Linked DNA regions of Stegostoma tigrinum. The protein of the gene in region 1 binds, or shares a complex with, the protein of each later gene. Links are inferred from orthologs where the notes say so. Each region holds a gene or a part of one and is shown in the gene's direction. Other genes may lie near its edges. The genes, in order: nrxn1a and lrrtm2.

Region 1 (12,651 bases):
TGTCTTGTTTTTATAAAATGTAAGTTGAGCCCACCAGTACTACCCAAGTAGATTAATGTAAGGGTGAAATAATGGGAGTTATTTTAGAATCGAAAATTGATGTCATTGTCATAATTTTCCAACTTTTTTTTCTGCAGGAGTAGTTGATATACATCTGTGGGAGATTGGCAAAAGTCACGCTGGGATGCAGATAGGATTTCTGATAATTGGTCAGAATTACAAATGGCACCTTGAGAGAGCTCTGCATGTGTGTTTTAATGGGCTGTTGGTCACAAGTTACCAAATTCTTAAAAGATGTACTGACAAACAGGATCAAAATCACAGAGGTCTTATGGTGCAGAAGGAGACCATTCAGTCTGTTGATCCTGTACCAACACTTCAAATAAACATCATTTTCTAGTTCCATTCTCTTCTTTATCCAATACCCTTGCATGTTTTTTTTATCCAAATAGTTTGAAAGCCAACATTTTAAAATGTGTTTCTAACTGTTCTTCAATCAGGAATGAATTATCGGCTGCATATTTCACATACAACAATAAATATACAAAGGAATGACTAAACTAAGACTAACATCATTCAATCTCATTCCAATCTTGGAAAAATTAAATCATTGCATTCTTTCCATTTCACAGTCTGTCTTTTTTTTAATCACTTTCTTTCTAACTTCTATCTACTAGAACTGATCCCTTGCGTGTTCTCTTCCAGCTCCTGCCTCAAGATCCACACCTTAGAGTACATTTATATGAAAACCTATTTGTCTTATATTTCATTGTACTCTTTACATTTTTTCCACTCAGGCAAGTTGTGAAATTGACTTAATCTCTGGAAATGATGCATCCACTGGGATTTTCCCCTTGGAGTATGAAATTGATTAAAATAAATCGGAGAATCTTCATTCTGGTGAGTGGAGCTGAGATGGGACAATTAATATATCAATATTGTATTCAGAAGAAATAGTCATTGCTGTCATTTATTGTGCTGTGTTATACAAAAAGCGTGTTCAGAAAGTTGAAAACAAAGTCTCCTCTTCTGTTTTTTTTTGATCAACAGGCATTCTCAACTCAACAGGAGGTGCAACACCATCCTGTTCTGACAATTTCTGGAGCTAAAAGGTTTTGCTGTGGATTAGTTTCAAACTCTTATGCCTTCAGCCTTTAGGTAGTCTACTGATCTAAGAATCATAGATATTTTTTGAGACTGTAATGATGAAATATGCTTGGTATAATTTCTTATTTACTTACATACCTAATAGGTTGTTAAAGGTTAATATTCTTTTACACTGGAATCTCTTTTCTTCAATATTCATTATATTAGAAGTCAGGATTTTTAGAATCAGACTGATTTTTTCTTGGATTGAGCTTAGCCAATCCCTGTTGCTGTAGCAAAGACTCAATAGACTCTTCATCATAGATACTGGAATGGTGGCATTGGACAATAAATGAGTAGACATGGAAGTGGCTTGAAGTTGCCATGAGCTAGTCGAAGGACATTGAGTGGCGTGAGTAATCTGAAAGGATGGGATCCTTTATGTGAGGTGTGAATTTCAGAGGGCCTTTAAATGAAACTGAGCTGCAAGGAAAGAAAACTGAAATGGGCCTTTCAACTGCCCTACTTCCACACTAATCAAGTACTGCGTATTAAATCAATAACGGGAGAAAATCTGCATCTATATCATGCCTTTGACAATCTCTGGACATCAAAACATACTTCACAGAAAAGTGTAATCAATGGTATTATGAAGGTCAATATGCCAAATGATAACCACTGCAACTAGTAATGAGGTAAAAGGCCAGAGGACTTTGTTCTGGTGATATTGGTTGAAGCCATAAGAGCATTTTGCCGTTACTTAAAAATACTCATTGTGGTCAAGTGACCTGTGACCTCCAGGATTGTTACAGAAATATTGACATTTTCCCATGATCATGGCCTTAAAACTCAAAGTGGAAGCCAAGTTTAAACTGATCTGAACTTTGGGATTTGCAAACTCCAGAGCTGGAACAGACAGTATTCATGCAGCCAGGCCTTGGAAAGGCAATTTTACATCAAAATAAGTCAGGCCAGCTATAAATGGTCACATCAGTTCATTCTGAAACATTGTTTACACCTCCAGTGAACCTGCTTGGTAAGAACGCTATACAGATTTTATAGCACCCAGCTCAGTAGGAATCCAGAGGCATGGTGACAAGGATGGCACTGAACACTTCCACTATCATGTTTTACAACCTCCAGATATAGAAAGTGCCACCTTATTAGATCATCCTGCCCCCACCCAATGCTAGTACTAGATACAAGCAACAGAATCTTTGATGGGTGCGAGGCAGCGAGTAGAAGGGACTCCAGCTGTCTCTCTGATTTTTGCATCTTCTTCAATGGCATTCCCAGACAATATACCTTGGTGGGATGACCCAAAGACCAGATACAGCCCTGAATGAGAGGTAGTGTCCAAACTGACAAGAACAGATTGTGAAACATCATCTCTCAAAGATCAAGAAACAGCTTGTCCCAGCCTTACTGCATGTGTGCTATCGGTCCTTTCAGAGGAACTGTTGATGTGTGTCTTTAAAAGGGAATTGTTTTGTCCTGTTGCTCTTCAAGGGGCATGTTACAAGCCTGGTGATGAGGTGCCTGCTCTGGGAAGGCAGAGCAAAAAATAGAGAAAAAGAAACATTGGACGGCACAGTGGCTCAGTGGTTAATACACTGCTGCCTCACAGTGCCAGGGACTTGGGTTCAATTGTAGGTTCGGGCAACTGTCTGTGTGGAGTTTGCACATTCTCCTCGTGTCTGTGTGTGTTTCTGCTGGCTGCTGTAATTTTCTCCCAAAGTTCGCTGATGTGCAGGCTAGGTGGTTTGGCCATGCTAAATTGCCCATAGTGTGCAGGGCTGTGTGGATTGGGTGGTTTAGCCAAGGGAAATGTAGGGTTACAGGGATGGGGGGTTGGTGCGGTGAGTCTGTGTGGGCTGGTTAGGCCAAATGTTTCCACTTTGTATGGATTCAATGATTCTCTGGTTGGGTGGAGTCAGTCTCACGCAGATCCAGAGTGTTAGTTTTTGCTTTCAGTTGTTGAAGTTGGGGTTTTGGAGGTGAACTGCTAGCTGCAGCTCTCTGCTGCTGCTGCAAAGAGTTCTTTCTCACTTACTTGACTAATTTGTTTTTTTTTCAGTATTTCGTTCTGCTCGATTAGAGTGAGAGGATTACATGTGAGAATAACACTGTTTTGCTGAATGTGCCTTTGCCAAAGGTGTGTTTATCAGATCCCACTATCTTAGAACAGTTCAGTAGGAGTGAAATAATATATTTTAAGTTTTTTTAATACTTATTTAAGAAAATTCTTCTTTACTTTGTTTCTATTTTAATTGTGGAGGAAGAAGAAAGTGTGCTTTGCTTAAAGCATAGTAGTGTGACCAATCAAATCACATTTGGAATGCTGGACCTTACACTTGCCTTTTAAATAAGTTTAAAGTTAGGATTTAGGCTATTATCTCCTTGATATGTTTTGACAGGGTTTGATCTGATCCACAACAGGTCAAATACAGTTCAAAATCTCCCCCTCCCCCACTGCATCACAAAACCAGCCCAGCTCGTCGCTGCCTCCCTAACCTGTTCCTCCCCTCACCTTTCCCCTCCTCCCACCTCAAGCTGCACCTCCATTTCCCACCTACCGACCTCATCCCACCTCCTTGACCTGTCCGTCCTCGCCTGACTGACCTATCCACTCCCCACCTCCCCACCTATACTCTCCTCTCTTCCTATCTTCTCCTCTATCCATCTTCGGTCTGCCTCCCCCTCTCTCCCTATTTATTTCAGAACCGTCTCCCCATCCCCCTCTCTGAGGAAGGGTCTAGGCCCAAAACATCAGCATTTGTGCTCCTGAGATGCTGCTTGGCCTGCTGTGTTCATCCAGTTTCACACTTTGTTATCTAGGTCAAATACAGTGGTCAGGACCTGTGGATAGGGTACAATGAATCCTTGGAAGCACAGGTCAGAAGTAGATAGCTAGTGTAGATTTAAGGTTTTGTTTGTCAATCTCTTCACAAGTTGCTTCAGTAAAGTGTTGAGTTAAAATACAACAGTAGAGTCTAAATAATAAAATGTGAGGCTGGATGAACACAGCAGGCCAAGCAGCATCTCAGGAGCACAAAAGCTGACGTTTCGGGCCTAGACCCTTCATCAGTTGTTTTTCCTTGATAGTGTTCTATAAAGTCTCCCCAACTCATGCCCTCTTTTGTCTATCTCGATGTGTAATGTGCTGGAGTGAAAAAAGGTTACTGCAATCTGGTCAATATTAATTTACATTTCCCCATCTTTTTTGCTTTACAATGCCTTGACCTTTTTTATCCACATGAGTCGGCACACAGCATTTCTGTTTAGCATTACAGTCAAAAGGAAACTTCTTTCTAACAATGCCACAGATGGGTCAGCACTGGCACTGAATGTTAGTCTAACATATTGCTTTGTTCTAATGAACCTGCAAGGCTTGAACTTACAACTTTAATATCAAAAATGTCGGCATTCTTGCTCTTGAGCCAAGCTAAGTGAATAAAGGCAAAATGCTGCACATGCTGGAAATCAGAAATAAAAATAGTAGGTGCTGAACATATATCTGTGGAGAAAAAACAGAATTAATGTTTTGATTTAAATATAACTCTCCGTCAGGACAGACAGTTAAAGGGGTGTCCCTAACTCATTCATACCATGTACCTCCAAAACCTTCCCACCCCCACCCCATCCTTGAAATTAACCACTTCCCAGTTTCATGTTTTGATGGTTCCTCTTTGCATGTGAAAACAGTACAAAGTGAAACAAGGTATGAAAATGTACAGATGTAGTCTCACCTCTGGCATATCTTATATGGCCAAAGATAAGAAAATGACCTGTGACAGCTTGCTCTAACCATTTCAAGTTGAACCTGTTGGAATTTCAGGAACGCATTTACATTGCGTACACCCTGCAGACACCCGAGTACAATCCAGAAATCTCGAGCATTCATTTATCATCGTTACCCGAGGTTTTGTTTTATTGAATTCCCAAGCTCCAGTACACTTCCATCTGTCTATGTATGTGTCACAATAATGTAAATGCTTGTTTAAAAAAAAACATATTGTCTTCGGAAGCACTTTCCGCGCACACGTGCTTAAGAGTTCACTACAATACACTAAAATCATGACTGGATACCTACCAGAAATGTTTCAGCAAAGGATTGCGACGCTTTGAAAGCTCGTGTTGTAAGCAAGTAAATACATACGTGCTGGCATTAAACAAATGAAAATGTCGTGTCGCTTCAACAGTTTTGTGTCAAATCAGGCAAATTATCGTACACGTCAACATTTATTTATAAGTACTCGTTTTAGCTGGAAACATTTTGAAATTTGGGTGCTCGAATTGGGAACGCTTCACGAGGTGCTGCTTTCTAACACGGAATTAAAGACGTTATTATTCTGCTGTAAGTATTTCAAGCTGCCCACACACGGCAGCGTTCACACTCCTAAAAAGGCGAGAAGAGCAAAGCCTTGTGTGTCAGACTTACTAGAGCTGTCTCCCCGGGAGAGCACGGGGAAATAACATGACAGCGATGCACACCTACCTACCTCCCGGGAATTGGCACTTCAGCGGCGACAATACTTTTGCAGGGAGAGAAGGAAAATACAACAGATAGTAGCCGAGAGCCTGCTTTTGACACAAATCCTCCGCATAGGCTCGTCTCCGGCTGGTATTGTGCGGCTGAGTACGTGGGCGCTGGAGCAGCTCGAAGCGAGGCACCTCGGCATGGCCATACACCCCGGGCACGGCCATACACCCAGGGCATGGCCATACAACCCGGGCACAGCCATACATTCCGGACATGACCAGACACCGCAGCCTTGGCCAGACACCCCGGGCATGACCAGACACCCCGGGCTTGGCCAGACACCCAGGGCACGGCCAGACACCCAGGGCATGGCCAGACACCCCAGAGCATGGCCATACACCCCGGGCACGGCCAGACACCCCGGGCACGGCCAGACACCCCAAGCTTGGCCAGACACCCCGAGCATGGCCAGACACTCAGGGCATGGCCAGACCCCCGGGGCATGGCCATACACACAGGGCCTGGCCAGACACACAGGGCATGGCCAGGCACCCCAGGCTTGGCCAGACACCCCGGGCATGGCCAGACAGCCAGGGCACGGCCAGACACCCAGGGCATGGCCAGACATTCTGGACATGGCCAGACACCCAGGGCATGGCCAGACACCCGGGGCATGGCCATATACCCAGGGCACGGCCATACACACAGGGCATGGTCAGACACACTGGGCATAGCCAGACACCCCAAGTTTGGCCAGACACCCCGGGCTCAACCAGACACCCCGAGCATGGCCAGACACTCAGGGCATGGCCAGACCCCCCGGGGCATGGCCATACACACAGGGCCTGGCCAGACACACAGGACATGGCCAGACACCCCAGGCTTGGCCAGACACCCCGAGCATGTCCAGACACCCAGGGCATGACCAGACACCCGGGGCATGGCCATATACCCAGGGCACGGCCATACACACAGGGCATGGTCAGACACACTGGGCATGGCCAGACACCCCAAGTTTGGCCAGACACCCGGGGCACAACCAGACACCCCGAGCATGGCCAGACACTCAGGGCATGGCCAGACCCCCCGGGGCATGGCCATACACACAGGGCCTGGCCAGACACACAGGACATGGCCAGACACCCCAGGCTTGGCCAGACACCCCGAGCATGTCCAGACACCCAGGGCATGACCAGACCCCCGGGGCATGGCCATTCACACAGGGCATGGCCATACACCCCCGGCACGGCCAGACACCCCAGGCTTGGCCAGACACCCTGACATGACCAGACACCCCGGGCATGACCAGACACCCTGGGCATGGCCAGACACCCAGGGCATGGCCATACAACCCGGGCACGGCCATACATCCCGGACATGACCAGACACCCTGGTCTTGGCCAGACACCCCGGGCATGACCAGACACCCCGGGCTTGGCCTGACACCCCAGGCGTGGCCAGACACCCCGGGCATGGTCAGACACCCCGGGCTTGGCCAGACACCCCGGGCATGACCAGACACCCTGGGCTTCGCCAGACATCCCAGACATGACCAGATACCCCGGGCATGACCAGACACCCCGGACACGGTCAGACACGCAGGGCATGGCCATACACCCCGGGCATGGCCATACATCCCGGTCATGACCAGACACCCTGGCCTTGGCCAGACACCCAGGACATGGCCAGGCACTTTGGAAGCCCCCAGATACCTACGGTCAGAGCATGGCTGGGCACTCAGGGGAGCCGCTAGGCGTCCAGGGCACGGCCAATACAGCGTCAGCCACTCTTCCCAGATTAAACCAGTCATTTTGGGGCAGGCTGCTGTTTGGGGTTGGGTGGTGTGTTTTGAGGTGAGGGGCCGTGCTTTGGCGGTTGGAAAGATAAATATGGGAGCTTTTCATTGCTTCCGCTGTAAGGAGAAAAAGGGCTGCGACACCTCCTTTTTTAAATGCATTTTTTTCCCTTGATTTCCTTTAGTTTGCAGAGAGAATATGCGTCATCTTTCAGCAGGGTCTGGGTACCAGAAGGCAAGGGTTTCGCTGGCAGCGCTGTTTTAACGGGAGGCAATAGAGATGGCTTTCTCTTGACACAGAAAGATCCTGACATAGAGAAGGCAGCTATTCCTCGCCTGGGCGCGCGTGTATTTTAAATTTTAAAACGGGAATTCGTCTGAAAGATCAGCGTTCTTTCACAGCCTGGTTCAGGCCCCAGCGGGTTCTTTCAGGTACGTGGGGCTCTGTCTGTCTGTCTCTCGTTGTGCTGCCGAGCACTAATGGAATTTTCTTCGTCATGTATCGGAGCGGGGAAGCCCAGTCTTTAAGAGGCTGGCGTGAAGACAAAAAAAAACCCAATCCTGAAAGGTCTTACATCATTGCTTTACCGCGTGGAGAGATTTAAAGCCCACCCATTCCCCCAGCCCATGTCTGATCTTATCCCCCTCTTTTGTGTCCTTGGTCTTCATCAGTGAGTAAAATCCTTGCGCATCTGCAACACACGGTAGAGGGAAGAGTGCAGGAACCAGGTGAGTGGTTTAAAAGCAGCCATCACTGTATCGGAGGTTGCAGATTTAGGAGGAGAGTCTGAGGGTTTTGCATTTTGCAGACTCCATAGGCACCAACATATCAATTAAAATAAAACCGAGAGTTCCCGTTCTCCGCAGCTCCTTTCCAATAATGAATGCAAGGCGACTCACCGCTCTGTGATTGAACTCCCTTTCCCTCATACCTTACTGAGTTGATACTTTGGTTGCAAAATAAAAGTAGTTGATTACTGAATAGGATTGCTTGTCTTTGTTGAATCGTATTTCTATACTGATAGCATGTTTAAATTTAAGGACCTGTTATATTGTAGACGGAATAGAATGGATTTTTGTCCTTTCTCACTCCCCGCCAGAATTGGATGTAATTGTTGGATTTAGTTATATTATTTGGGCTACCTCCATCTGACACAGCATATCCAAATTACATCTCGGAGTACAAAAAAAACTGCTTAATTTTACAGATTGCGTTAATCATTTTGTTATGATACATGGGAAACAATACGAAGTGTCATGAGGTGAGAACGGACCGCAGCTTCCTAAGACAGGAAGCAGAAAAGAGAAATTGACATGTTAGGCGCATATCGGTAGCGTTTTCTTTTAAAAAAACATGTATCAAATTGGAGCGTTCTTTTGTCTCATAATTTCCATGCTGCGTTTTGCTGTGGTACATTGGTAATTAGATTTCCTGTCATGATTTCACTTCAGGCATTTTTACAATCCAAGAAAGGTGTGATGGCTCATTAGGTGTAGTGTGAGAAAGCTAATAAGACAATCGAAATCAAAAGGCAGAGGGAGAGAAAAGAAATGTTAACTATAAAGTGCTGGTCTATTTCTTAGGACGCTGCAACAAGTGATGTGCCAGTCAATAAAAGAATTATTGTTTTTCAGCGCCCGGGGTAGTTTTGGACGTCAGATATGTCAGGATATTGTATTCTCTACAAATGAAGCAATGGGAGTCTACTGAACCAAATGGACCATGTAACCATCAATCTCAAAGTTTTAAAATACATTTTTCAAGATCATTGTAGGACAGAAGTCTTAATATTAATCCAAAGACAGGACATATATATTTTCACTTTGGCATTTTTATGCTTTTTTGTTGGGAGTTGTAATTATCATCTTTGGAATCCAAAAGTGTTTAGCAACAAAATACAACTAATAATAATTAGTTTACATTACAGCAACTTGTCTGTCAATCTTCCAACAACTTATTTATTAAAATCTATTGAGTAAATTGGTTAAAATGACCAAATTAGATATTAAAATCCACTGAGTAATTTGGCTAAAAAGGAACTTTGCTTCCTTTTAAACTGTTCTGGAGAGCTAAGCATTTTTTTAAACAATTGAGTATCTGGTGTGAGGGAGCTCAAACAGAAAGAATTAAAATGCACATGCTGAAATGTTGTTGTTTTGGCAGGTTCAGCCATTTTGCACTAAACACAATACAAAATATTGTCCAAAAGCGGATACAAGTGCAGTCATGGTCATATATTGATTCATGTTGCTGCATTAATTGCTTCTTTTGAAGAATATTATAAAGTATTTTGATTCAGACTGGAAAATGGAATGTAAACACAGTGACCCTGCGAAATTGTCAGAAAGAAGCCAAGCTTAAAATATGAACATTGAATGAGAGAGAACTAGGAAACAGTAGGGATTATGTTGTAATTGCCCTTCATAGATTTTTCACCTGCCTTTTTGCACCTCCCTATTGCTGACAGTCACGCTCCCCTTCATTCGTTTTTTTTCCCACTATTTTCCCATTGCTTTCAAACTGTTCTTTCAACATGACCGCTTCAGTCACCAAGTAACTTCTCTCTTTTCTCCCCCTCTCCATTTTTTGCTCTGTCCATCATCTTCTCTTCTCTCTGGTACCCATGCCCCTGCTTTACTTCTGATGAAGTGCTGTCTAGACTCGAAATGTTAGCTTGATTTCTCTCCATGGATGCTACCTGATCCGTTGTGATTTCCAGCATTATTTTTTGTTTTCAGTTCAGATTCCAGTAATTTGCAGTCCCAATTTCTGTTTTCCCTCCCACATACTCCTCTATTTTGGCCGTTTCCCACATCTACCTTGAGTCTTCTCCCCCATTCTTGGCTTCTGCCCTATTTCTTCTTCAACCTGAGGCACACATCGCACCTCTCACCCCCCAACCAGTGTTCAGGCAAGCACTCGCCTTCTTTCTTTCTCTATCTTAGCCAAATTGGGTTCTTTACCCTTCCTGTCATATACGTCTGATCCAAACTGTTATTGCTTTTCCCTTTCCTTTAACAGGTTACAAATTCATTCCCACCTTTCTTCATCACAGCTGCACACTTTTCCTCTTCTCTGCCTCCACATGGTCTCAGCAGTCACCCTCTATGGCCTCAATTGGTCTGTTGTCCTTTTCTAGGCATTTTGAAAGATCTTTTGCTCCCACATCTAACTAACGAGATCTTCTCCCCAGCAGATCATGATCATCATCTACAAGCTCAGATGTTGTAGTTGGCCTCCAGTAACTGCTTTGAGACATCTTCATTATTAATATGTTCATTATTGCAGGGCATAGCTTGTTGCATCATTACTTGTTTTACTGTGCTACCTTTATTTTTATTTGCAAACAACATTGTGGCTTATCAACCAGTATTATTTCAAACATTTCTGTCAGGCCATCAGGGCATGTTTAAATATCCACGTCTCTTGTCTCATACAGTGAAATATACTAGTTCCAAAATTTGCCAAGGTATGAAAATTGGCATGATGATCTTTTTGTGTGATTAACTCATGCCTGTTGCCTTCAGTACAAGTAAAATGGAACCATCATGCCATCTGATCATTTAAGTGATTTCAGAAAGTGAACAGTGCAGAGCACAGTACTAAGTGGCTGCCTGGCTGAGCAGGGGGACTCAAAAATAGCTTTCAGAATCCTGAAATACTTTAAGAGGATGTGAAAATTGACTGAAGAGTTTTAGGAAATGTCTGAATGAAAATACATTATGATGATCACGCAGTATGGCAGGGCAAGGACTAAAAGGTGTTCCAATGGTGTACTGACCTTTTTGGTTAAGAAAAGCTGTCTCCTTGCCAGCAAATCCTGCAGACAAACTATGAGGACACAATGGGGAAAGATACCATGATGGCTTTATTCTATAAGCCTCCCAATAGCCAGTGAGAGATAGAGGAACAGATGTGCAAGCAGATCATAGAAATGTGTAAGAGTCACAGGGTTTTTAAAAGTGTGATATCAGCTTTCCCAATATTGACTGGGATTCCCTTGGAGCTCGAAGCTTGGATGATGACAAATTTGAGAGATGCTTCCATTTCTTGAAACGGTATGTAGGTAGCCCAACAAGGGAAGGGACCATAATAGGGCTTGCACAAGGGAATGAGCCTGGTCAGGTCATCAAAGTTTCAATGATGGAGCATTTTAGGAACAGTGACCATAATGCCATACATTTTACAACAGCTTAGACAAGGATGAGACTGATCCTTGAGTGAAACTGCTAAGTTGGTGGAAGGCTAAACGCAACAGTATTAGGTAGGAACAGGAGCAATTAGATTGGGATTAGCTGTTTGAGGGTAGATCCACATTTGTTATTGGGGAATAATTTAAAGGCCCGTTGACCTGAGCTCAAGATCAGCATGTTCCTGTGAAGATGAAAGATGGGCATTGGTAAGAGTTGAGAACCCTGAATGATAAGAGGTGTTGAAAATTTAGTCAGAAAGACAAAGCAAGCATGCATAAGATTAGTAAACTGAAAGTAGACAAGGCCCTTGAGGAATATAAAAGGAGTAGAAATTAAAAAAAGAAACAGGATCGGGGAGGGTTAAAAGGTGTCATGAAATAGTCTTGGCAAGTTGGATTAAGGAGAATCTCAAAATATCTTAAATAAAAACCAAAAGAACTGCAGATGCTGTAAATCAGGAACAAAAGCAAAGTTGCTGGAAAAGCTCAAAGATAATGGGAACTGCAGATACTGGAGAATCTGAGATAACAAAGTGTGGAGTTAGATGAACACAGCAGGCCAAGCAGCATCTTAGGAGCACAAAAGCTGGCATTTCAGGCCCAGACCCTTCAGCAGGCCTGGCAGCATCTGTGGAGGAGAAAACAGAGTTAACGTTTCGGGCCCAGTGACCCTTCTTCAGAACTGATGGTGACTGAGGAAATGATGAAGATGATTGAGGATAGGGCAGTGGATGCTGTCTATATGGACTTTACAAACACATTTGATAAGGTCCATAATGGTAGGCTAGTCCACAACATTAGGTTGTATGGGATTCATGGCGAGTTGGTAAGTTGGGTACATGATTGGCTTAGTCATAGATGTGATGATACTTGGCTTTAAGAGGAGTATTTTGTCCTTTTTTTCCTATGAAGACATAGGTGGGAGCAATCTGCTTCAAACCAATAAACAAAATAGCTTGTGAGGCCTTGGTCTTTTTGTTTGAAGCTGGAAAAATAAAAGGAGCCTGAATGAGTGGGGCCAAGTTCCCACAAAAACAGGATTTTTAGTTTTAACTTTCACTAGTTGCTGGAGTCTTGAAGTTGGATGTGAAAGC
Region 2 (12,909 bases), on another chromosome or scaffold:
TTAACCTTCCCTCAGAATCCTCTGAACGTGTGCTTGACCTGACACAAGCACATATTATTTCTTTGATTTCCAACTCCTTTTTCATCCTGTGGTTTGTCCACCTTTTTAGAAGGAACATGCCTCGCCTGTATCCTAATCATTTCCTCTTTGAAAGTAACCCACGTTTGTTGAGAGCTGTTCCCAACAACACTTGTTCCAGCCTGTCTGGCCCAACTGTTTCCTTGCTCATTGAAGTCAACGCTTCTGCAGTTAACTGTCCTTGCTCTAGATTACCTTTTGTTCTTATCTATTAACAAACTTTATTTAAAATACTCCATTCAAACATATGCAGCATAATCCTAATTTAGGCTTTATTTATTCCCTCACCAACTTCACTCACTGACTACTCTATATACTTATCCTCTCTGTCCCTAAGTAAATCTGTTTCCTGCTATGCCTTTCTAATATTCCTTCTAATTCCCACGCAGCTGTGGAGTTAATTTAACCCATCCCCACCAACAGCACTAGCAAAATCACCCAACAGGAAACTCAATCCCAACTCTATTCAAGTGCAACCTGTCTGGTTTGTAAAAGCCCAGCTTTCCTTAATCTAAAAACCAATGCCGGGAATCGAAAACCCATACTCTTGCAACTATTTTTTCCAGCCATACATTTATCATTTCATTGCTGTGCTCACTTGCATGTGGCACTGGAATACCCTTGAGGTCTTGCTTAATAATTTTCTTCTTATTTCTCCCAATCCTGATGGTGGAACCTTACCCCTCTTCTTACCCGAGTCATTGGTAAGAATGTGGACAGAACCTCTGGCAGTTCACCACTCCCCGCGACCGCTCTAACATCTTCAATTTTGGCACAAGAAAGCAACATACAATCCAGGAGCCACATTTACTGCCACAAAAGTGCATGTCTATTCACCTAACTAATGATTCTCCTGTCACTATTCCTTCTCTTATCTTTCTCACATCCTGAACAACCAAGCTGTTTGTACTGCCATAAAATTGGCTTTGACTGTGCTTGAGGAACCAAGCGCAAAAAAAGCCTCCAAAATGGAAAAAAAAGATTGAGAAGGGGACTGAGGATTGCGTCTCTGATCTTTCTGCCTCCAAACCTCATTTTCCAGCTTAAGTTGTGTTAAATGATATAGTTCCACAACCTAAACTTGCAAAGTAACAGGTTTGAAAAATTAAGCTGAAATGGTCTTTACTATGAGAATACACAATATTAAAACCAGCTTAAGTGTCATACCATATTTTTGATTAGTTTAGTTTTATTTCTTAAGTCGCAGAGAGAATGAGGAGGTCGGGTGAGTGAGCGAACGAACCAACAAGGACGGTGAGCGAGGGCAGGCATGAGAAAGGACAGGATAGAATGGGTAGGTGAGAGAAAAGGAAGGATTAAAGCCAGTTAATGAGATTGCAAAGAGGAAGAGAGAAACAGCAAGCAAATGAGCTCATGGATTCCACCTTAATGATTAAACCGGAGGCTTTGTGAATTTTACAAATAAAAACAGACAATATTGATTCTACAAAAATATTGAATTATTTCATGTGAAGATTTTGTAAATAATTTGAGGATCAGCAAATGTTTCAAAAGTTATAGCTAGGATGAACTGAAACCTTAGATTAGGACGACTCAGATTTGACTACTATTACTGCGGATATGAGAGATTTGTAAAGCCACGAAGAACTGAAAAGGCCCTGCAACTTTACAGCAACCACACATGCAAATTAGATGCATCATATTCAGACATAATTTACATTCATTGTTGGCAGAACAAAAATTAGATGCGCAGGGAATTTGTCACAGACAATTATTGCCTCCTCTAATCATACATTAGTTATCAAAACAACCCCATTAAAAAAAAGCCTTCAAAATATAACAACAGAGAACAGGGTCAACATTTATCTTTCGATAAAATAAAAAAAAACTTAAGAAACTTGCACGTATAAAGTTTGCTTAGAAGAAAGAATGAGAGCAGAGGTTCCCAAGTGCGGTCATGTGCTGATATTTTGAAAGCATGAGCCTGCTGTAGAGCTCTGACCAAGTTATAACGGCAGTACACCCATAAAATGCAGTGGCAGCAATGGCAGGTCAGAGACTTGAAATAGTGTGGCAACTGACTTGCCAAAGCCTGTCTACCATCTACAAAGTATATGTCAGGAGTATGATGAAACACTCCCCATTTGCCAGGAAGGCTGCAGCTCAACACAAGATGATTGACACGATTCTGGACAAAACAGTTCACTTGATTGGCACTGCATCCACAAGCATCTACTCTCTCCATCACCAAACTCATAGTACATACGGCTACATAAAGATGCGCTGCAGAAATGCAAGGATCCTCAGACAGCACATTCCAAATCCACAACAACTTCCATCCAGAAGAACAAAGGCAGCAGCCAAAAGGGAACACCAGCACCTACAATTTGCCCTCCAAGCCACTCACCATACTGACTCAAATATATTCACCATTCCTTCACCATTGCTGGGTCAAAAACCTGGGATTTCCTGCACAATGGCACCGAGTCCACTCACAGCAGGTGGACTGCAGCAATTCAAGAAGACAGCTCACCACCACCTTTGCAAGGGCAACTAGGGACAGGCAATAAAGGCTTGCCAGCCAGCAACACACACACCCCAAAAAATGAATAAATACAAACACTCACTATTTTCGCAAAATGGTTGTAACTTTCGAACTTCAAAATTGGATTACAAAGGGAAACCATTCAGGGAAACTGCAAATTAGGGCCATCAAATGGATTGGGAATCTGGGTCAAAAGGAAAGATTTAGCCTCTGAGATTTCGCAGTATTTGAATATGACCTTTTGATATGAAGATGACATAGGAGTGCAACTTGCAAAGAGACTTGTACAACCAGTCAATGACAGCAACCAGTGTAAATTGTCCATGTGTCCCTTCACTGAGCTTGCATTTTAGATCTGATAATTTAAGAAATTGCATCCAGGCACAAATATGTGTTGATGCCAAAAGATGGCAAATGCTGAGACACCTGGTTTGCGACAGTATATGCATATTCAAGAAATTGAAAAACCACCAACATATGTGCAGATGGAAAATTACAAAATATTCCATGGCTTAAAAGTGTAAGTAAAATTATTCAATAGCCAATTAGTATTTTTAACTGGATCTCCAAGATCTAGTTACAATTTCAACGTAAAATAAGTTTATAAAATTAAGTGCCCATACTATCATTTGTCAGTGTAGTTACCAGTAATGCTGCAAATACCTTCTCACATTTCATTTTAGTATCTGGGTTGTGCGTGCTATCCTCAGCAACATTTCATTAGTGTTACAGTGCTACTATTTTAACACTGATATTACTTGCACTGTTAGCAATACTACCAAATTTTACCAGGGCTACTTAATGCAAGTCTAGTATTTGGCCTTTTGCATCCAAAAGTACTGCGCAGTATAGAAACAATTTTGTGATCAGAGATAATGGGAACTGCAGATGCTGGAGAATCCAAGATAACAAAAGTGTGAAACTGGATGAACACAGCAGGCCAAGCAGCTTCTTAGGAGCACAAAAGCTGACATTTTGGGCCTAGACCCTTCACAGACAGGGATGGGGACAGGGTTCTGAAATAAATAGGGAGAGAGGGGGAGGCGGACCGAAGATGGGTAGAGGAGAAGATAGGTGGAGAGGGCAGTATAGGTGGGGAGGGGATAGATCAGTCTGGGGAGGACGGACAGGTCAAGGAGGCGGGATGAGGTTAGTAGGTAGGAAATGGAGGTGCGGCTTGAGGTGGGAGGAGGGGATAGGTAAGAGGAAGAACAGGTGAGGGAGGTGGGGGCAAGCTGGGCTGGTTTTGGGATGCAGTGGGGGGAGGGGAGGTTTTGAAGCTTGTGAAATCCACATTGATGCCATTGGGCTGCAGGGTTCCCAAGCAGACTATGAGTTGCATTCCTGCAACCTTCGGGTGGCATCATTATGGCACTGCAGGAGGCCCAGGATGGAACCGCTCGGTTCGCAACAAACAATTGCACCTCCCAGTCGCGAACCACTTTAACACCCCCTCCCATTCCTTAGACGACATGTCCATCCTGGGCCTCCTGCAGTGCCATAATGATGCCACCCGAAGGTTGCAGGAACAGCAACTCATATTCGGCTTGGGAACCCTGCAGTCCAATGGTATCAATGTGGACTTCACAAGCTTCAAAATCTCCCCTTGCCCACTGCATCCCAAAACCAGCCCTGCTCATCCCCTCCCCCCACTGCATCCCAAAACCAGCCCTGCTTGACCCCACCTCCCTAACCTGTTCTTCCTCTCACTTATCCCCTCCTCAAGCCGCACCTCCATTTCCTACCTACTAACCTCATCCAACTTCCTTAACCTGTCCGTCCTCCCCGGACTGACCTATCCCCTATCTCCCCACCTATGCTGTCCTCTCCACCTGTCTTCTCCTCTATTCATCTTTGGTCCGCCGCCTCCCCCCCCGCCTCCCTATTTATTTCAGGACCCTCACCCCATCCCCCTCTCTGATGAAGGGTCTAGGCCCGAAACATCAGCTTTTGTGCTCCTAAGATGCTGCTTGGCTTGCTGTGTTCATCCAGCTTCACACTTTATTATCTTAGAAACAATTTTGTGCTGGGTTTACTTCAAATATTCAACACGCAACTCGAGTAAGGCATACTGTTCGTGCAGCATCTCCAATGATGAGTTTTCTTTAAAATTATGTATCCAAAATGTCTGTCGCAAATGAGTGCAAATTGAGTTTACTGTACCTAAAATCCTTGAACATGCTTAACTGCTTCATCATATTCATTAGATAAATGTTGAGAATTGGCATGGGAATCAACTCAATACTTAGCAGTAAAATAAAAAGCAAAACACTGTTAATCCTGGAATTCTGAAATAAAGGCCAAAAATTTTGTTAACATGCAAAAACTAGGTAGCAAAGACAGAAAAATAGTGGGAAGAATTTGAACTGATGAACGTTCATCGTAAATCTCTGCTTTTAAAGGTGTGTCAGTTCTGATTACTAGAAAGGCTAACTAAAGACTCAACTTGCAGTTTCCATTGACAGACTTCATCATTCCTAAATCTCACTGAATATTCTCAAGTGACAATTTGCTCGAGGAACTTAGAATTTTCTCAGGAGTCAATGGAGTATGATAAACCTTTGCCTGATATTCTCTCATGAATTTCTCCAAGGTTCTGCAGTAAAGCCAAGATGACAATGCGCACCAATCCTTCTTTCCAATATGATTGCAAATAATCTGTTTAGCTGTGATAGTTCTACAACTTGTGCAGTCACTTAAAATTTCTTTTTGTGTTAATTCATACCTGACTGAACAACCACATCCTTGTCTTAGTTGTAGCCACAGTGCCCCTAAACTGGATCATAATATGAATCACCAATGGTAAATTTTGTAAAATACTTAGGCATGAACTCTTATGTCCAATGAAATTCTTTTTGAAACTCTCAAGAAACTGAATAAGCAATATTAATCACTAAAGAACATCCTTTATCAGATTGAGACATGAATTAAACAAAGCAAAACTGTATGGTTACTTTTTAAATCAGAGGTGTTGGCAAAATTTCTAGAGATCATTGTCGTGAAATCTTTAGTTTCCTGCATTCAAAATGTGATTTCTACAGTTAATAGGAGAACTTTCTTTTTATATGGTGCCATTCACAGATTCTCAAGACATCCAAATGTTCCCAACAGCTAGCTAATTAAGTGTTGCTAGGTGAGGAAAGACTGTAGCTAATTTGGATACAGCAAGGATAGACCAATGATAGAGACAAATGACTAGATTATTTTGTTTGTGGCGTTAGTTGTAAGATAAATGTTATTCACAATACCAAAAAAACTAAAACAGAAACCTTAGTAGGTCTGACAGCACCTGTAGACAGTAAGAGTTAGCGTTCTGGATCAAGTGGCCTTTCTTCAAAACTAACTGCAGCTAGGAAAAGATAGGTATATACCCTGAAGATGGATTTCTTTTTGGTGGGGGGGGGGGGGCGCGAAGCGATCGGAGAGAGTAGAAAAATAGTTGGGCAGACAAAGGATATGCAACGGGGAGAATCAAAGCTGCCAATGGGGACCACAAGGATTGCAGCTTCCACGACAAGAAGGCCTGGTGTGTGGAGGGAGGGGTAAGGACACAGGAGAAGGTGCTCAGTTCTCTAAAATTATTGAATTTGATACAGCCCTAAAGGTTGCAGGATGTCCAAAATGAGATGCTGTTCTTCCAGCTTCTGCAGAGCTTCACTGCATCAAGCTCGAGAGAGAGAGATACTGGCCAGAGAACAGAGTGGTGTGTTGAAGTAACAGGCGAAAATAAACGCGATCATTTTGGCAGACAGAATATAGATGTTCTGCAAAGGAAATAGTCTGCATTTTGTCTCCCCCAATGTAGAGGAAACTATATTGTGAGCATTGAGTGCAGTAAACTGATTGTAGCACATTTTGAAATAGTTTATATGGATTTTAAAACATTTTTGACAAGGATCTTTTGACATGACAGACCACTTGGGAAAGCAAAACTCCACAGGTTCCTAGGGAAAGTTGGAAGTTGAAACTAAGACTGACAGTGTCTTATAACTTGTTTCTTGCACTATGAGCTTAGTGGCCTTCACGTGTGACATAAACTTTCTACGTTCTTATGGCAAAATGAGAAGGCCAATAATCAAACATGCATAGATTTTGAATCAATTTGGAAGAAATTAGGAGAAAACTACAACAAAAACATTTGACAAGTTTGGTCAATGAGTGCTCCTGAACCAGGGTTTTGAATATTAATTGTTTAGTTCATCTAGTTTATTCATGATGTAGCTCAGAATAGAAAATTAAATTCAGTCTCTGGTTTGTTACAAGTCAGTTGAGGCCAGCAAGGATGCAGCATCAACATCCCAAAGACTTTAATACCTTGGGTTAGGGACGTTAGAGAAAAATGATAAATATCGTGGAGTTCCTGATAACTATGCAGCGGCCTTTGCTGAAAGTGAACTTGCAAATATCAGAGAAGGCAAGATTATGTTTGAGTGCCATTACGCACACGACTATGTTTACCCTGGTAAACAGTATGCACAGATCATACATCATTAAGTATAATACCATTGCAAGTAACACCATTGCAAGGATTTAGAAACGGGATGGCAGTGAAAAATTTAAAAAATGCACATAATCTCATTTCTTTGCCAGCGTATTTAATCATCTAAATACTGTTAAGTTCCAATATAAAACTAGCCAAAGCATACAAATATGCTGGTGAACACAAGTATTTCTATAAAACAAATTAATATACAAAATTAATCTATAGCTTAAAAAGTCAAAGTCATACACAGCCGTTTTGCCATAATATTTTCAAATTTTTAAAATTGATATGTACTAATAATAGAAAATTACTATTTCCATGAAATCAGACAAAATGAGAAATTTTATTCAGGAGTGTTTCTGCATCCTAAAAAATAAGGAGGCAAATTGTATAAGTAAACTTCTATTCAATTTTATATTCAGGTCAGGGGACTTATACCTGAAAGCTATTTGCTTACTATAGATTTTATTTAAAAACTAGACAGGAATTTAGCACAACAATAAATAATCTGCTACATTATTGTATTGATAGACAACTCTAGACAAATATTATATCCAATACTTCCCCTTTTATTTATTAGTCATTTTCAATGCTTCAATGTCTGTTTCATCCAATTTGCAGACTGCATGCAGCATGAAGCTCATCATCATGCCACTGAAAAGCCCAAAAACATTGCACGTCACAAGCTTACGCCAGCCTGCCACCAATCTGCAAGTCTGCGCTCTTGCAGTACCAGCACAGTTCTCCTTTCCAAAGGAGCTTTCAGTCAACGTGTTCACACTGCTAGCTAGTCTCTGTACAAGTACTTCATTAACATCAACAAGTTAAGGATAGGACCACCAGCTGTGCAGGCAAAGGTTTGGGCTTCAACTAGTCAATTGAACGGGCAGGTAAAGAAAATGTGTGTTTTCATTCATTCTCGAGAAAAAATTCTATAGTTCTACGCCTGTGGAAATCAAAGCAGGGCAAGGGCAAAGCGTTGGGAGGAAATGTTACAGCTGCGATAGGTGAAGATTTGTTACGGCATTTTTCCTTTTGCTTTCAACTGGAATACTCGCCATTGTCTTGTGTGAAAGGAAACAGAAATCCTTTTTGTTTCGCATCTTTTCAAAATCTGCCTCTTCCATTGGAACTTCTTTCCAGCTCACTGCTCGAGGAGTCTGAACAGAAGGATAGTTGAATGCAGTCTCCAATGTGCAGAAAAGAATGGGTAAGTGTTTGTTTTTGAAAATCCCATTTCATAAGACAGGAAGGGAGACACAGGGGTTTGGGGGGGATGAAGGGGGAAGGAGCAGCAAATTACTTTGTGTGTCGAAAGCACAGAACGATTCTCAGATTTAAAAACAAGATCACATCTGACAATTCTATGATCATTAGCTACAGAGCTTTTGTGGGGGAGGGGTATGAAGCACCTAAATCACCATATACGATGTACTGTTCAGGCTGGAAACCTAAATGAATTTCATTTGATTGCCACCTACAGGTTTGCATTCGAAGTGGCCATTGGGGGGGCCAACAACGGTGGCAGTGTGTGTGATGAGCATGCTGTTGAAAATGCTGCCTGCCTCAGGCACAGCATGTCCACAAAAATGCAGATGCGAGGAGCTGTTCTTTTATTGCGATTCCCAAGGTTTTCAAGGAGTACCCGATAATGTCTCCCACGGGTCTATTGGCTTGTCGCTCAGGCACAATACTTTCGTTGAACTGCAAAATGATCAGTTTACAAAATTCAGCCAACTTACATGGCTCTATTTAGATCACAACCAGATTTCTGTTATTCAAGTGGATGCCTTCCAAGGACTATATAAACTCAAAGAATTAATCCTCAGCTACAACAGGATTGTGCGACTGGCAAATACTACATTCAGCCAACTGATTAACTTGCAGAATCTGGACCTATCATTTAATCAAATTACTTCTCTGCAACCAGAGCAATTCCATAGCTTACGTAAACTTCAAACACTGCATCTACGTTCAAATTCACTAAGGACCATTCCTGTCAGGGTTTTCTGGGACTGCCAAAGCTTAGAGTTTTTGGATATAAGCAACAATCGTTTGCGAAGCCTAGCTCGTAATGGTTTTGCAGGATTAATCAAACTCAAGGAGCTTCACCTAGAGCACAACCAACTGACAAAGATTAATTTTGCTCATTTCCCTCGGCTAATCAGTCTCCAAACACTATTTTTACAGTGGAACAAAATTAGCATCCTGCTATGTGGAATGGAATGGACTTGGGACACACTGGAAAAGCTTGATGTAACTGGAAATGAGATTAGAACAATTGAGCCTAATGTTTTCTTAACAATGCCAAACCTAAAGATACTTCTGATGGATTCAAATAAGCTTACCACACTGAGTGCCCAGATTGTTAATTCATGGAAATCTTTAACTCACATTGGTCTTTCTGGTAACATGTGGGTTTGTAACAAAAATATTTGTGCCCTGGCCTCCTGGCTAAGCAGTTTCCAAGGTCGATGGGAGAATTCAATGGTTTGTGCTAGCCCACAGCACACACAAGGCGAGGACATCTTAGATGCTGTTCATGGATTTCAAATCTGCAGTAATCTTTCAGCAACCACCACACAAATAACTACTGGCTATACAGACTCTACACAGCTATCAGAATCCACTGAATATGCAACAGAATTAATGTCGACTGGCTCCAGTACAGAGGATACTGAAAATCCCACTATAGAAACAACTACTGAAGACTTCCTTGAGCCTGATAACACTCTCTTTACTCACAGGATAATAACTGGAACAATGGCTCTATTGTTCTCTTTTTTTCTCATTATCCTAGTGGTGTATATATCACGGAAATGCTGCCCCCCTACTCTAAGACGCATAAGGCATTGCTCCATGATGCAACACCGGAGGCAAATTCGCCACCAAGCCAGGCAACCCATGGCAGATTTATCCACACAAGTACCCTATAATGAATATGAGCCCACCCACGAGGAAGGCGCACTGGTGATCATAAATGGTTACGGACAATGCAAGTGTCAGCAGCTGCCTTATAAAGAATGTGAAGTATAAATTTCTGAGCTCATGTAACCATCATTCAGTTTAAGAAATGGGAAATCTGTGAGTAAAATCTTTTAACTACAGAATCGAACTTTAATATTTTTTATTTGCAGAATAAAGTTACCAAAATTCTGGCACTGGCTCTGTTACTCTAAATTGTACTTGATGCTATTAATGAAGGTTAGTTTAGATTTTTCAACCTAAATTTGCTCATGTCATACACTTAAATTTATTTTTGTTATAATTAGTTGGTTGGTGGAAGAAGTTACTTCAGTAATTGTTTCACAATACAGCGTTTTTAAAAGACATACTTGAAAACATGTTAAAAGAAAATCAAATTTTCTTAGCCATGTAAATTGATGCAGACAGTCTGTCACTAAAAGATTAAACTTTCTAATGTCCTTGGCATCATCCACACCACACAAAGATAAGTCAGCTACTACAATTTATTAAATAACAGGTTCAGTTTGAAACCGTGTCCATTCTGTTTCATAAGGTAGAAACCAAGAAGAATTAATGGTCAACTGTTTTTGAGATGTCAAAATGTAAAACAGATTTTTTGTGCTCTGTACTGACAGGGTAAGTGAAGCTTTTGCTTGTTTAGTTCATCAACTAGCTTTACAATTAAGTAAGGTACATTAACATGGCTAACAGCTAGCTGTGCTTTCATAGAAGTAGTCATGAAACTTAGTCATACAATAATTTTGCTCTCCTCAACCTTGAATATGAGACAAGTTATAAAGCTAAATACAATGACCCAGGGATTATAAAACCATCCAAACTGTAGTTCATATTTTTAGAAGAACCTCTTGAAGTTCTCATTGTTAGAACTATTGTTACTCAAGACATTTAACTGCAGGTTAGCAATTTGTTGCCATATCCAGATGGCACACTACATGAAGTAAATACATAAAGCAATGTTCAACTGGTTGATTCAACAAAGGAGCTGCCACTTGGACTTCAGTCAAATTACAGAAGAAAACAAAAATATGTTCATGCCCTTGAGTGACAACTGAATGCATTACAGAAATATAATGCAATCAAAACCTCTTAATTTTGATTGAATGTCAATTTTATCAATGCCGCTTACTGCTGCTCACTCAGGAAAGAACGTTATAAGGTATGTAATTTCTGTTGTCAAGGGAGGGGTGATGAGGAAGACACTTTGAAATTCTATGAAACACCAGCCCAGCTCAACCATCTCATCAGCTGCTACACTTGCTGCGTTCAACTGCGGTGACAGTCAGTTTCAAGGTGTAATGAGCTAGAGTGGGCATAGAATCAAAGCAATGCAAGCAAACGTCAGTGTAAAGGCAGGAATTAAGTATCATCAAGCAAGAGTCAAAGAACATAGGGAAGGGAAGAAAATAAAAACCATGAGAAAGACAGGCCCACTAGTTTTTAAATCAAGGGTTCAAACTCAAAGTAACCATATCTTTGTAGTACAATGCTGCCCCCTTTATGCAAGCAGTTTAAAAATAAAGTAATATAAAACAAAGTACTGAATTGGCAATGATAAACTGCATACCTGTCTCCTTTGGGTTAGTACTTATAATATGTTTTTATATATGGGTGAAAACAGGTCTAATTTCTGCTACATCTTATAGTCTTAGACAGCAACACCATGAAACACATCTAAACAGTGTCCTTTATTTCACAGAACCATGCTGAAATCTAGCCAATGTTTAATTTCTATGCCTTTGGTATGAATTAAATCCCAGCTTAAAACATAAACCTGAAAAACCCATTAGATCAGTGCGATTAATCAAATCAGCATTCTCTCCTCTGTGTAATTTGATCTTAATATCCAAAGCATTAGTATCCACATTGGAGAAACCAAGCAAAGGCTTGGGGACCACTTTGTGGAACATCTACGTTTGGTTTGCGACAAACAACTGCACCTCCCAGTTGCAAACCATTTCAATGTTCTTTCCCACTCCTTGCGCGACATGTCCATCCTGCAGTGCCACAGCGATGCCACCCAAAGGTTGCGGGAACAGCATCTCATATTCCACTTGGGAACCCTGCAGCCCAATGGTATCAATGTGGACTTCACAAGCTTCAAAATCTCATCTCCTGACCATATCCAAAAACCAGTCCAGCTCATCCCCGCCTCCCTGCTCCTCTGATGCTGCTTGGCCTGCTGTGTTCATCCAGCTCTACACCTTGTTATCTCAGTATCCAAAGCGGCTTTTCATTGAAGATTACCAGGAACTTCACCAAGAATTCTCCTTTCCTACCCCAAATTCTTAACACTGAATTTCTACAGATCCTGAAGCAAGGATTCTGGAATCAACAGAAATGTAACAAATGCACCGATTGATCAAAGTACATTGCACATGATGCTCTGTAATTTAGCAGAATACTGGATTCTCAAGAGAAAAAGTGGGAGATGCTAACCACATGGACTTCAGCAAGGAGTTCAATAAGACTTTGATTAGTAGATTAGATCACGTGAAATCCAGGAGACCTAGCCAAATGGAAACAGAATTGGTTTTAAGTTAGGAGACAGAGGATGATGGTAGAGGGCTGTTTTTCAGACTGGAGGCCTTGTGACCATCATTGAACTACAAGGATCGCTGCTGGGTCTACAGCTTTTTGTTGTTTATATAAATGATTTGGATGTGAATATAGGAGGTTAGTAAGTTTGCAGATGACATCAAATTCGGGTGGTGGATCATAAAAAAGGCCGTCTCAGAGTACAACTGGACCTCGAATGCGTAGGCCAATGGACCAAGGAGAGGCAGAGCAAGTTTAATTTAGATGAACGTGAGGTATTGTATTTTTGTAAGGCAAAACAGGGCAGGGTTTATGCAAT

What was found.
Region 2: the proteins of nrxn1a (region 1) and lrrtm2 are in contact, whole or in part, in a crystal structure (PDB 5Z8Y), measured with the Homo sapiens proteins. The link is inferred for Stegostoma tigrinum from reciprocal best matches to the Homo sapiens genes NRXN1 and LRRTM2. Residues at the interface, in NP_001317021.1 of Homo sapiens: Leu139, Val158, Thr160, Arg236, Gln237, Leu238, Thr239, Ile240, Asn242; in NP_056379.1 of Homo sapiens: Asp343, His344, Gln346, Gly347, Glu348, Leu351, Asp352, Ala353, Gly356, Phe357.

The regions. Positions count from the first base shown.
Region 1 is NC_081362.1:50,229,743-50,242,393, forward strand, and holds the start of nrxn1a (neurexin 1a), read left to right. Parts: upstream 1-7,586; 5' UTR 7,587-7,796; intron 7,797-7,950; exon of another isoform or gene 7,951-8,093; intron 8,094-12,651.
Region 2 is NC_081366.1:57,558,456-57,571,364, reverse strand, and holds lrrtm2 (leucine-rich repeat transmembrane neuronal protein 2), read left to right. Parts: upstream 1-7,777; 5' UTR 7,778-8,273; coding exon 8,274-8,277; intron 8,278-8,550; coding exon 8,551-10,103; 3' UTR 10,104-10,214; downstream 10,215-12,909. UniProt on the Homo sapiens protein: Involved in the development and maintenance of excitatory synapses in the vertebrate nervous system. Regulates surface expression of AMPA receptors and instructs the development of functional glutamate release sites.